Linked DNA regions of Schizosaccharomyces pombe. The protein of the gene in region 1 interacts with the protein of each later gene in a pairwise test. Each region holds a gene or a part of one and is shown in the gene's direction. Other genes may lie near its edges.

Region 1 (7,856 bases):
TAACACTCGTGTTATGAATTCCTCTGCAGGAGCAACTGGCCCTTCTCGTCGCCGTCAGGTTTCTTCTGGTAGTTCTACACCTTCAATGACTAAGTCATCAGCAAACAACAATAACGTGTCTTCGACTGCAAATACTGCGGCAGTGTTAAGGGCAAAGCAAGCACAACAACAAATCACTAGTCTTGAAACACAGTTGTACGAAGTTAATGAGACGATGTTTGGTTTGGAGAGAGAACGTGATTTCTATTTTAACAAGCTTCGAGAAATTGAAATACTTGTACAAACTCATTTGACCACTTCTCCTATGTCAATGGAAAATATGTTGGAGCGTATTCAAGCAATACTTTATTCTACTGAGGATGGTTTTGAGTTACCACCTGATCAACCCGCAGATTTAACTACCGCCCTTACGGACCATGATACTAACAACGTCGCTGAAGAGGCTCAAATGACTGACCTAAAAGACTCAGAAACTCAACGCGTTCCCTCTGCACCAGATTTCGTACATGCTAGGCTACAAAGTTTAGAGGTTGATGACGATGAGAATATCACGTTTTAAAAAGTACTAAGTTAAAGTTTTTTTTTGTTGCAAATTCTTCATTTTTCACTGTAACAACGTAAATAAAGGAAACCGAAATATTTATTTTTATAGGGAGTTCTTCTTATTCCTTATTGTTTATTTAACCTGATCGAATGTTGCGTGCCTCATGACCTCCAAATTCATTTAATTTCGTTCTTTTTCCTTAACATATAGCATTCTGTATACTACAAATGCTAATTGTAATAAACTTTAATCCTTAGTGTTTGAGCCGTCTAATTATCCCAAATAGGATATTTTTCTTATTTCTTTAAAAAAGCTTCAAGGATAATTTAAATTTATCCTGCTTCTACGTTTCAGTGATTACGAACCAAACTTTTTTATAATTAAATGTTGAAAAGTATGAATGGATGTTTCAGAATTTTATTCAATGATGCTGAAATATCTACTCGATTTAAAAAAAATTTGCATCCGATTTTAAAATCGCCTTTTTCATATATGAGCAAAATAAAGAGTAAAATATTTACTTTCAATGATCTGATTATGTTAAAACGTTTCAACTGCGTACGTCTCAGCGATGTAGAAGTTTAATTACTTATCCTTATCTTATATATATATATTGTTGACTTTATAAACCGTAGGTGTTTATGCTTGTCATTTTTACTAGCAATAGTAAAGTATGTAAAATTTTGAGGTACCTTTGTTAGTTTATTTTTTTTACTCGAACTATATCAACTTTAAATAGCAAATTTTTAAATCAAGCTTAAAGTTATGCAATTCAGCTACACGTCGTTAATAATAAATAAAACTCTTTCATTCACAATTCTTTAAATTTGCAAAGCAAAAATCTCAATAATGAAATTCAAAGCACCAAGTTTCCCCCCCCCCGCCGGGGGGTTTGATCAATTTGTCTTATCTGATCTGATAACACCAATGTTACGTCTTTCACACAAAGAATTAAATTCGATCCACATTAGTATAATATGCGAAGTATACCACTAGTTTTTATTATAAAACTTCTGTTTTCTATATAGGTTTTTATTCACCTAATTCTCAGGCCGGTATGAGTAAGTAACCATGTGATGTATAATTATGCAATGTTGATAACCGGCAAATTGAGCTTGCAGTCAGCCAACATCACCATCAACGAACTGTATATGGGTACTACTACTTAATCAAACTAAATGCTTCAATTTTCATTTCAAAATTGCAAAACGCATACATGCTATATGAATACCAGCGTGAATGAGCACTTGGATCAAGATGAATCGTTTTTAAGAATACTAATCGATACTCGCAAAAAAATAAGAAGCTCATATTTCAAGCCTCAAACATTTGATGAATTTGTGCATTGTTTAGCAAGAGTAAGAGCCATGAAGCGATTGGTTTCGATCTGTTCTAATTTTGATGAAGAAGACAATTGGAATGGTGTCTGGAATACGTTGGTTGTTGATGGAGATTCGCATGCTTCAGCAATGATTGATTATGAAGGTCTACTTGATAAATGCTCACTAAGTAGAAATCTTCTAGAATTGATTAATGATTATGCCGAGTATACTACCCAAGTCCTGCCTTTCAGAAAAATACCAAGTAGCGATAATCTTGACTCTTCATTAAATTTAACTGTTGCTTCACCTAAGTCAAATTTATATTATAGATACTCATCTGAGAGTCCTAAGTATGCAAAAATTTTGGATTGTCCGGATGAAATTTTACAGCTGATTTTTTCATATTGCTATGATGCTTCATACATAGAGAAGTTACCCTTTGCATTTTCATATAGAAAACAACGACATACCCTTATCCATGACCTCCCCAATACATGTTTACGTTTTAAAAAGATTCTCAGCCCTCGAAATGTTTCATTTTGGAAACGATTACTTAAGGTGCATAAAAAAAATCCAAATTCGGCTGTAACTTGCTCTGAGTCTATAAACACAAGTGCTGTGGCCAAATTTACCGATATCCCTACAATCATTCCAATTTTTCTTGATCCAAGTTATCAAAGTTATGCAGCAAAGACAATTCATTCTGATACTTCTTCGTTAGCCTCCTCGATCATCCAAACAGGAGATGGAACACAGTCATGCGATGAGTCTACATATATAGAGCTAGCATGCAATCTTGTAGGCCGTTGTGTGCTTTGCAATAGAATACCGAAGTTAACTAAGTTTAAAGATTGCATTACCTCATTTTACCGGCCTTCTGTTGCTACCAATATATGTGATCAATGCTTAGAAGCAATCATTGACTTTTATGAACCTGTAAGTAGATACAAATTTGATGTTATGAAAGATCGTTTAGGGGTGGGATATATAAGCAGGCCTGGTCAAAAATTCCCCTCTTGGTTATCGGAGCATGTTCAATTGGCTAGGGATGAAGAGAAAGCGTTCAAGAGTATTTACCATTCTCAAGGTGAATTTGCAAGAAGTTTATTTCGTTTGTTTCGAGCGCAGTTGGCTGAGTTATGTGAACAATAAAATTTTGGATTAATATACTACGATTTTATGTAATAGACAAATTCGATGTCAAATTTGTATGAAAGTAAAATTGAAGTTAATAAATTTTTTTTTGTCTATGACAACTGTTACATTTATCGTTCACCCGTTTTCAATTACAGTTCATTTTTGAAAAGCAGAGTAAGCAATGCAAGGAAAAAATAATATTAATTAGGCAAATGACCCAGAACCCTTTTGTAAATATTGTTATACAGATACCATGAGAGATTAAGAAGTAGAGAAGTTGTTAATAAGTCAGAGCATTAACATTTACTGTACAAACACATAAGGTAAATTAAGTTACTCAAAAAATACGAAAACGCCAAAACCCATTTCGTAAATGAAATTGATAGTGAGTTGTCATATAAAACCAAAAGTTCCATTAAATAATGGCACTAAAAAAAACAAATCATCCAAATGGACCAAGGAATTTCTATCATTTATAGAATTCCCATATTCCAAATTTTTTTATTTCAAGCTCGTGAATTGAAAATAATAGGAAAAAAATGCCACTACAACAGTAAAAATAAACTGAAACAAAAAGGATTTAATCTATCAACATCCATCTTTTAGCGGTGACGAGAAAACAGGAGAGAAATGAGGTGGTGCATCTCAGGCTTCAGTACAAATATCCTTAAGGATCCGAAGCAAAAATGAATTCAGAAGTGTGCGAAAAAATAAGGACGAAGAGAAGGATGTAAAATTATGCTTTCTATATAACTAAATGCGCAGATCGCTCAAGGGATTTGTAAGAATATGACCACTTGCCAAATTTGAATAAATCGGACAAGAAAAAGAAAAAATATCTTCATACCACGACAAAGGGTTATAAATAGCAAGCACTTATGCCTCAATTACAGGAGAGGTGCAATTGACGGCGATGTGGCCTGGTTGATTACACTTGTAACAAAGTTGACCATCTGAAGCTTGTTGACATTCAAAGCTGCGGTGTCCAATCTTACCACAAGAGTAGCATTTCACGCCCATAGTGCAATCACGGGCTTGATGGCCATAAGAGCCACAAGCATAGCAATTCATGTTGGAGCGATGACCACCAAATCGTCCGCCACTTTGTTGACCATTTGTACGACAGTCTCTAGCAATGTGACCAACACGACCACACTTGTAACATTCCGCACCTTGACGGGGGTTAGGGCTGCTGGGGCAATCACGAACGAGATGTCCGGCGGTACCACAAGCATAGCAAGTTTTTTCCTGTTGAGGCTCAGTGCATTCGCTAGCCTTGTGACCGGTCTGATTGCAATTGTAGCAGATTGAACCCTTGGTGCACTCACGAGCTTGATGACCGTTTTCACCACAGTTATAGCATCGAGGACCGGGACGAGTGGTTTGAGGAACGGTGGGAACAGATTCAGACTCCATCTTAACAACTCCTTTACAATTAAAAAAAATTATTAAAGAAAATTAAGAAAAATAAAAAAAAACAGAAAAAATGTACTTTTTCTCGCTAACCTGACTACACTTCCTTAATAAATAGGAGCGTGTGACTGTCTAAATTTTTCTTAAGTAACAAGCACATGGTGGCACTTGGAAGTAACGAATTTGACAAGCGACTATTTTGGTCTTAAAGATGTCAATAAATAAGAATTTAGTTGTTTTAGACCGACGGAAGAAGCACAACAACTTGCCAATTAAAAAGAGTCATGGAATCGAAGAATTGTTACCGCATACTTGCTTTTTTTTGTGATAGAGAGTGTAATATCTTACATAACTAGTAAGCTCACTCTTTCCCATAAACTCAGGACTTTTTGGTTCTGACAATAGCTTTATATCATAGCAATTATTGCCTCCTCATTGTAATGTAGATTGGTATTCCAAGCGAATATAACCAAACGCTTAGTTACTTTGAATCGTGGTAAATAAGCATCGTTATTTTTCATGGCAAAAAATCGTAGAAACATTGCATTCACAGTATAGCGCCTGAAGAATTGAGTTCAGTCATTTGCAATATATATATTACTGGAATCTATAGTTGTACATATTTTAGGTATCCAGAGTACCACGTGCTTGAATTCAAACAAATCAAAATAAATCCAAAAATTGTTTTGGTAAAAAATAATGCTTTGGCCGGGAATCGAACCCGGGTCGAATCGATGGCAACGATTCATTATACCACTAAACCACCAAAGCTTGTTGAGGTTTCGATAAAAAAAGATTTAATTATATTACGCGACGATATATCAACATAATAATTTTAAATAGATAATTAGGATCTTGGAAATCTTTTTATATTTTTCCTAGACTTTATGAATATAACAAATACGAAATAGAAGGTGAATGGAATAGAAAAAAAGTAATCATTCGACTAAGGAGCAAAGAACTGCTGATTACTTCTTTATTTGAATTTAGCAACCAAGAATTTATTAATGCATGTCGGATTATTAATTTAATTCATGCAGTAAGTGTTTTGCCAAACTATTAATTGCTTATTTTTTTCTCTTTGGAATTCGTTTTGGTAAATAGAAAAGCAAGTAACTTAGTCGCATTTAAATTATTAAATTCAAATCAAATTTTGTACGTTAATTACTATTCCTATTTGTGGCTTAATAAATTTTGTATAATTCCTACATATTTTTTACAATTTATCATTATTATTGGGACACGTTTATTCAAACACTGTTTTTTAGATAATTCATTTCATACTCAAGCACAGATTTATATTAAAAGTTTAACATATACAGAAATGCATGATTATTCCAAATTATTCTAAAAAAAAATATTTTTTTTTTGAAATTTATTCATTTTACAAAATGTTTTTGCTTGACATACTTCATCGATTTCCAATACTTATGCAACCTTTGAACCGTCATTTCACTAACCTACGTGAATAAACTATTAACAAAAATTAGATTAACATTTTAATTTCCAACCCATTCACAGATGTATAGTATCATTTAACAGAAAACCACTTCAATCGATATCAAATTATCACTATTGTCATACTAAGAAACCGTCAATTTTTTTTTTGAAAACAAGTACATTTGACCGCTTTTCGCCCTTGGGAATGACTAGTTCATCGCTTCATTTTATAATTAAACGCAGTAAATTAATAATCGAGACATAAAACACAGAAATTCTTCTACCAGTTAGATTAAAAAAAAAAATCTGTAAAATCATTTTCCGAACGAAAATAGTTTAAACTATGTAATTAAGGTAAAATAGAAATATTCCAACTTTTTGAGAACAAGTTCAAGAAAGATGAAAAATCTGTTCTATCAAGGTGATATGACGATCAATTTTCATTCCAAAACTTAGTTTTTTTCAGCAATTACCCACCAGTTATCACGGTCGTAGCCATGTTCCAATATTGAGCCGCCTGCGGTCTCTACTAACTCATTTAATTCACCCTTGCGAAATAAATGGTAGTAACGTTGATACGCAATATTTTCAGCAGGATCGTGCCCCTTTAATTCCTCCGGCTTTGCATTTGGATACTCATATTGCCTTTTTAATATCCAAGGAACATAAACGTCCTGCGGTCCGTCTTCTGAAAAACCACGCCTTGAATTCTTTTGTTCTAAAGCCCAAACAAAAAATAGTGCTTTCCCTCCTTTTACTAATGGTCTTAAAACTTCCTGAACAGCTTGCAACCTTCGGTTTTCATTGCTGAAATGATGGATTACAGCTATGCTTAAGGCAAAATCAAACCGATTGCTTGGATGAGGTACGTGCAGGCCATCAGAAATAACCATAGGACCTAGATTGCTTGCTATTTTAACAAGTTTTACGCAACGATCGCTTCCTATCATGTAAACATTTGGGTTAACCTTTTGGTATTTGCCATTTCCGCACCCAATGTCTACTCCTACAGAGCCCAAAGGCAAAGATTTTAAAAATTTTTCAACCACTGGCCATGGCTACAAAATGACTGATTAGCTTTAATTAAATATCGTTGTATTAACTTACCTTGTATCGAGTATCTGAGAAATGTGTTGCAATCTTATCATATACTTGATGAACATATTCATTTTCGTACTCTATTTCCATTTTAATATAAATAAGTAAAAATTTGTAGCCTTTGAAGCCGATTAAAATACGTCTCGAAGGTTGGGTAAGGTTAGCAAATGGTAAAACTAAAACGATGGGTTATAGGGATGTTAATTTCGAAATTAGAGATTGAAAATAATTTCCATTCCTTTGTTTATTGCCATGGTTCAAAATTAAGGATTTCATTATTCTTTATCATTTAAAGCAACAACTAAAACAAATTACAGCTACCAGTAACACAAAAAAAACGGTGATGGTACTAAAAGTATCCCGTTACTTTATTTTGCAATGCGCAAACTGAGATAAAGCCTTTTCTATGAATTTGAATTTTAATAATGATTAATTTAAACAGTTGAAGTGTTCAAGAAATATTATTTTTTCTACCATTGCCATTAAGCTTGTAGCTCCAGTTTATCTAGTAAATCGTCAATCATCTCCATTTTTTGATTATATTCGCTTTCATAAGGTGTTAATGTATCTACAACTCCATCAATGCACAAATCCTCATGGTAAATGCCAAAACGTTTTGAGAGGAAATAACGAATATCATCAATGAGTTCGATCGTGTCTGTTTCTTGTCTCTGTAAAATTCGATCAGCACTTTCTTTGACTAATTCACAGAATTCAGGATCGTCAATCAAGTGCTCCAAATGATTTGCCATATATTCGGAAGCGTATTGCTCCAGGCGAGGCGTAGACGTATCCCAAGCTGTTCGTAGAATATCGTAAATACTATCTATAGGCTCTTCTTGTTTAGTAATAACTATAGAAGCTAAAGATTTCAAGCTTCTATCTTTATCTAACGACAACAT
Region 2 (5,946 bases), on another chromosome or scaffold:
AACTTGCATTTGTTTACATTTTAATAGTCAGTATATAAAGGCATCTATAACTCTTTGGCATTTACACCAACCTTTGTCGACATTAGACTAAAGAGTCTAAAGGGACAAGTTATCAAATCTACCTGCATAACTTAATTTTTTTTTGTATAGCGGCAGTCATCGGCTAGACCTTTGAAAGCGGACAGCTTGCATTTCCACTAACCAACTTAAATATCACTTAATGGCGTCGTTAACAACAGCTTTACCGAATAAAGCCGTTGTAGCCCATTTTATGATGGGTCTTACGTACAATTATGCTCAGAGTGATTTCCAAAATGACATACAAAATGCAATTTCTTTGGGGTTGGATGGGTTTGTGCTCAACTTTGGGAATGACAGTTGGATGATGAGCAAACTGACTTTGATGTACAATGCTGCTGATGCATTAAATCTTCAGTTTTTGCTTTACCTCAATCTAGATATGTCTGAAATGTCAACGGTTCCCGCTAGCACTCTTGTGACCTATGTTCAAACTTTTGCTAATCGTGGCCATCAGGCTCGGATTAATAACAATGTAGTCGTGGGCACATTTCTTGGGCAGGATATTAATTTTGGTCAGTCTTCAGTAAACCAAGGTTGGCAGGTAGCATTCAAAAACGCGTTGGCTTCTGCTGGTATCAATATTTTTTTCATGCCCACTTGGCCTCTCGATGCTAGTACTATTTATCAGACATATCCAGTTGCCGATGGATTCTGCAAATGGAATTGCTGGCCTTATTACACAAGTTCCCCTACTAGCGATGCTGAAGACTTAGTTTACATACAAAATAGTAAAGCCACAAACAAAAAATATATGGCTACTGTCAGTCCAATATTTTATACACACTTTACTTCCAAAAATTATTCTTTCTTTTCAGAAGGTTTATGGTTTACCAGGTGGATGCAACTTATTAAAGACCAACCAAACTATGTTCAAGTTTTAACTTGGAATGACTATGGAGAAAGCACATATATTGGTCCCACTAATTATGCTGCTGACTTTCCGGTCATAGGATCAAACTCTCATGAGTGGGTTGATTCGTTTACGCATGCACCTTTATCTTATTCACTTCCCCTTTTCATTCAAATGTATAAACAAAATACTACAGGTCTTCCATCTAACTTCAGCGGAATATCGCAATTATACGTTACATACCGGGTGCATTCAAAAAATGCGACAGCATCGTCAGACTCAATTCCTCGACCTGATAACTACCAGAACAGTTCTGACGTTATTAGTGTTATATCCTTTGCAAAGTCATCGTATACTTTGCGCGTTAGCGTTAATGGCACCGTACTAGGTACCACCAATGTCAATGCAGGTGTTCAGTCAGCTAATGTTAGTTTCATTGTTAACAACACAGCTGCTGCAGGTCTTCCACTCTTTCAAATTTTAAATGGAACGACAGTTATCGCTCAGGGGTATGGTCCATTAAATATTCTTGGTAACAATTCTGTTGTGCTATACAACTTCAACTTCTGCACCACTAGGATATCCTGGTAATTCCATAAACTAAAAGTGGAGATCAAAATTAGTCAATCCTGATGGTATGACTGAAGTTTACATTACTTTTTGGTGGCAGGTAGCTTTGATAACTTTTTAATACAAATATTTTTGTTGGTGTCAACAATTGTAGTTGATGTAGATTAATTTTATTTTATTTTTTTCAATTGTGCAAACACAAAGAGTACTCTACTAAAATAAACCTGAAAGTTCGATACCGCTTGACACTTGGGCTGCTGATCAACTGACCGTAACAAACTCCAACGAAGTGGTATCAATATCTCAAGCACGTCTTCACTTAGCCTTCCAACTACACCATTTAATCTGCGTTTTATATAATGAGTTTAGCTAACCGCATTGAAGAAATCCGGTGCCTTTGTCAGTACAAGCTTTGGAATGACCTTCCTTCTTATGGAGAAGACGAAAATGTGCCTCAAAACATCCGCCGTTGTTACCAATTACTCGATATGACCTCGAGATCCTTTGCAGTCGTTATTAAAGAATTGCCAAATGGTATTAGAGAGGCTGTTATGATTTTTTATCTTGTCCTTCGTGGACTGGATACAGTAGAGGATGACATGACGTTGCCTTTGGATAAAAAGCTTCCAATCCTAAGAGATTTTTATAAAACAATTGAAGTCGAAGGGTGGACGTTTAATGAATCTGGTCCTAACGAAAAGGATCGTCAGCTTCTCGTAGAATTCGACGTGGTTATAAAAGAATATCTTAACCTGTCAGAGGGTTATCGTAATGTTATTTCGAACATTACTAAGGAAATGGGTGATGGTATGGCTTATTATGCCTCTCTTGCCGAAAAAAATGACGGATTCTCTGTAGAAACTATAGAAGACTTTAACAAATATTGTCATTATGTTGCCGGATTGGTGGGAATTGGACTATCTCGTTTGTTTGCTCAATCTAAGCTAGAAGATCCGGATTTAGCTCATAGTCAAGCTATTTCCAATTCTCTTGGACTCTTTTTACAAAAAGTTAACATCATTCGTGATTATCGTGAGGATTTTGATGATAATCGTCATTTCTGGCCTCGTGAAATTTGGTCCAAGTATACTTCCAGTTTCGGTGATCTCTGTCTTCCTGACAACTCTGAAAAAGCTCTTGAATGTTTATCTGATATGACTGCTAATGCTTTAACACATGCTACTGATGCTCTCGTTTATCTTTCTCAATTGAAGACTCAGGAAATATTTAATTTCTGTGCTATTCCACAAGTAATGGCAATTGCCACATTAGCTGCAGTTTTCAGAAACCCGGATGTTTTTCAAACTAATGTTAAGATAAGGAAGGGTCAGGCTGTCCAGATTATTCTACATTCTGTAAACTTGAAGAATGTTTGTGATTTATTCCTTCGTTACACCCGTGATATTCATTATAAGAACACTCCTAAAGATCCCAACTTTTTGAAGATTTCAATTGAATGTGGAAAGATTGAGCAAGTATCTGAAAGCTTATTTCCACGGCGCTTCCGTGAGATGTACGAAAAGGCCTATGTTAGTAAGTTGTCTGAACAAAAGAAGGGAAACGGAACTCAGAAGGCAATTTTAAATGACGAGCAAAAGGAATTGTATCGAAAGGATTTACAGAAACTAGGCATTAGCATTCTTTTTGTATTTTTTATAATCCTTGTATGCCTTGCTGTCATTTTCTATGTGTTCAATATTAGAATACATTGGTCAGACTTCAAAGAGCTTAATTTGTTTTAGTCCGTAAATTTAAAAAACTTAAATACTGGTTCAATATCGATAATATACAAGCAGTTTATTTCCTTAATTACTCTATGAAAATTGAAAGCTGTTTTGCTAAACAGAAGACAATTTAGAACTTGATTTTTGATCCTGTCTACAGATAGTGACTACAATTAATATAGGTTGTAAGATAAGACCACAATGAATGATGAGATATACTCGTGAGTGTTAAGCAAGCAACGGTTTGAGTCTTATGTGTGGGTATTTATGCCGTTGAAACTTTTTGTCGTTTTAATTGCTAAAGATCGTTAGAATGGATAGCTAAATCGGAATTCTTACCTCTGTACTATGTGCAGTGTCAGCAGTGGACCTCTTCTTAGTAGCTTTCGGCCGTTCTTCTCCAGGTTCGAAAACTTCATCAGGTAAAGCAGTACTAAAATGTGTGAGAGTGTATATATATAAAATGACTTACTTTTTAGTATTCTTAATGAAAACGTTCATTAAGGTGTCATCATATTTATCCCATTTTTTGCACAACTCGTAAAATTCTTGGGTAGGCCAAGAAATATCAAGTCTTTTAATTGGATGACCTAATAAAGTTAGCATAATTAATTTCAAAATGTAGTATCTTGCCTTTCTTCTTTTCAAGTTCAAGCCCTATATAACATGTTGTAGTGTAAACAGGAAAAATTTGTTTTTCACCATTTTCAGAACCATCAGCTTTACTCTCAGTATTGTCGGCTTTCTCTTCATTAACTGTATCGTTGGCTAATTTTTCATGATCCGTAGATTCATATGCGACTTCAAGAGTAACGCCGCTAGCTACTTGTTGAGCTTCTTCTTCACTGGAGCAATTATACACTTTATCAAATCCTTTATTGAAAGGATGTGCCAAAGCAATAGCATCAACAAGCTCCAGTCTAGTAACCAAATGACGAAGCTTAGATTCAACCAAACCTGCCCACTTCAATTGAGCTTCAGCTGTCTTAGCAGCTGCTGTGATCGTAAGATAATGCTTATAACGATGAAAAAAGTCGTGTTTTTGAAACAAAGCTGACCAGGGAAGAGCCTTGACCATTATTTGGTCAGCAATTTCTCCAGCCCGAACCATTTCGCGAAGGATAATTGTTTGGGTGGATAAAGTAATGTTATGAGTTGCACACATTGATGGATAAGCCGGGGTTATAATTGGCATACGGTGAGCTTTGTCGGATGGATAAAGTTTTGGATTCCAGATACGTACTTGTAAGGGGCCATCTTCAATGGGCTTTAACAATATTGGTTGAGGCCAATTCCATTGATGAAGAATACGAAAAAATTTAGCAACAATCACAGAAGATACTGCATTCGGATATAGTTGGCAAATTCGAGCTACCATCATGGCCCAGGCGACTCCTCCAGGAAATCCTACGACATTAGCGTATATTGCACGACGTTGAGCCCAAAACTTTATGGCTCTTAAAGCATGCTTAAAAACAGCACGATTAGGGACAAGCTGCAGAATCTGATCCGTAACACGTGTACCATTCAAACTTAGCACACATCTTTCTTCAACACCCTTTAATAAGTTATTATCAGACAATTCGAGGTCGCGGGGAACACGCGGAACTGAAAGACGAGCAAAAATTAAATCTATACTTATTCCCAAAAATTTAAACTTAATAATAGGAACATAGGCGTCAGGTACAGCAGCAAGGTCAGTTACCTCTTCTCTTTCTCGAAGCATAGGTTCCAAGTCCTGAAAGAAATTGTCGCGAGAAACATGCTTGGGTACAACGACTAGGGTATCTATGTCTGATCCAGGTCCATAAACGCCCAGTCTATAACTTCCGTACGTAAAAATTTTCCCCCCTGCCTCATTAGCCATCTTTTCGTTCATATGTTTGGCAAGTGATACTTTCTTTACAAATTCTGTCGTTATTTGTTGCAACTCATCAAGAACCTTTACTCTTTTTTCAGATTCGGCAGGAGATTCAAACAAGTTTTGGTTCTTCAACTCATTAATTAAAGCCGTATTCAAAGCATTTTCCTGTTCAGTAGCAGGTGCAGTACTAATTGGCGGTGTAATACCCCATTGCTTGGTAGTCATGCTTTGAAAACAAAAATTGGAGTCTTGAAAGGTAGCTGTTTTAAATTATCCTAACCTTTAAAAACAACTGGTTTAAAGCGTACTAATGCTAAATGTGTAGATCTGGTTAGCATTCGTTTAGGATTTAAGGCATAAATACGCAATTTCACAAAGTGCGTTATCTTATTATAATGTCAAAAAATTCATTTACAGTTGCACTGAGACATTTATTTCGATTAAATCAAATTTAATTTATCTGGTAAATTATACAATTGTTGCTGTTTATCATATATATCTTGACAGTGCACTATGTTCATTATCTGACAAACCGATTGCTCCTGGTTTTGTATTTAAAAGCTTACCCGTTAAATTCCATCCTTCAGATATGCATTTTTTTTGGTTGAATAAACTAGCGACTTGAAATGTAAAAATAATTTATGTTGCTGAGAAGTGTAAATGATTCAGAATCCACATCTATTTATTGGATTTACCGCAGTTGTAGGGAAACTGTCGAATTATTGATGACAAGTTCTCCAAAACTCTTTGCAAACAAGTTTCAATGTATGAAATTGATTCCAAACAGTAAAGAATTATTATGCTCATAAAGATTATCATAGCCATGTTTCGAGAGTTTAGATAAGCAGCCGAAATCT

The links. The genes of interacting proteins can lie anywhere in the genome.
Region 2: the proteins of pof14 (region 1) and erg9 interact in binary tests that used the Schizosaccharomyces pombe proteins (3 or more experiments, as listed by UniProt).

Annotation. Positions count from the first base shown.
Region 1 is NC_003424.3:2,244,064-2,251,919, forward strand, and holds pof14 (F-box protein Pof14), read left to right. Parts: upstream 1-1,671; 5' UTR 1,672-1,722; coding exon 1,723-3,018; 3' UTR 3,019-3,065; downstream 3,066-7,856. Other genes in the region: microtubule plus-end binding protein, EB1 family Mal3, read left to right, coding at 1-559; byr3 (translational activator, zf-CCHC type zinc finger protein), read right to left, coding at 3,880-4,419; tRNA (uridine) methyltransferase trm9, read right to left, coding at 6,309-6,914, 6,964-7,044; ubiquitin ligase Btb3, read right to left, coding at 7,437-7,856. UniProt on the Schizosaccharomyces pombe protein: Expression is induced during oxidative stress. Plays an essential, SCF-independent, role in the stress response to hydrogen peroxide for survival, by negatively regulating ergosterol synthesis via direct binding to the squalene synthase erg9.
Region 2 is NC_003423.3:928,357-934,302, reverse strand, and holds erg9 (squalene synthase Erg9), read left to right. Parts: upstream 1-1,830; 5' UTR 1,831-1,860; coding exon 1,861-3,243; 3' UTR 3,244-3,301; downstream 3,302-5,946. Other genes in the region: glucan endo-1,3-alpha-glucosidase Agn2, read left to right, coding at 221-1,522; mRNA cleavage and polyadenylation specificity factor poly(A) polymerase Pla1, read right to left, coding at 3,491-3,523, 3,565-3,658, 3,698-3,815, 3,859-5,314; gta1 (glutamyl-tRNA amidotransferase alpha subunit), read right to left, coding at 5,945-5,946. UniProt on the Schizosaccharomyces pombe protein: Squalene synthase; part of the third module of ergosterol biosynthesis pathway that includes by the late steps of the pathway. Erg9 produces squalene from 2 farnesyl pyrophosphate moieties.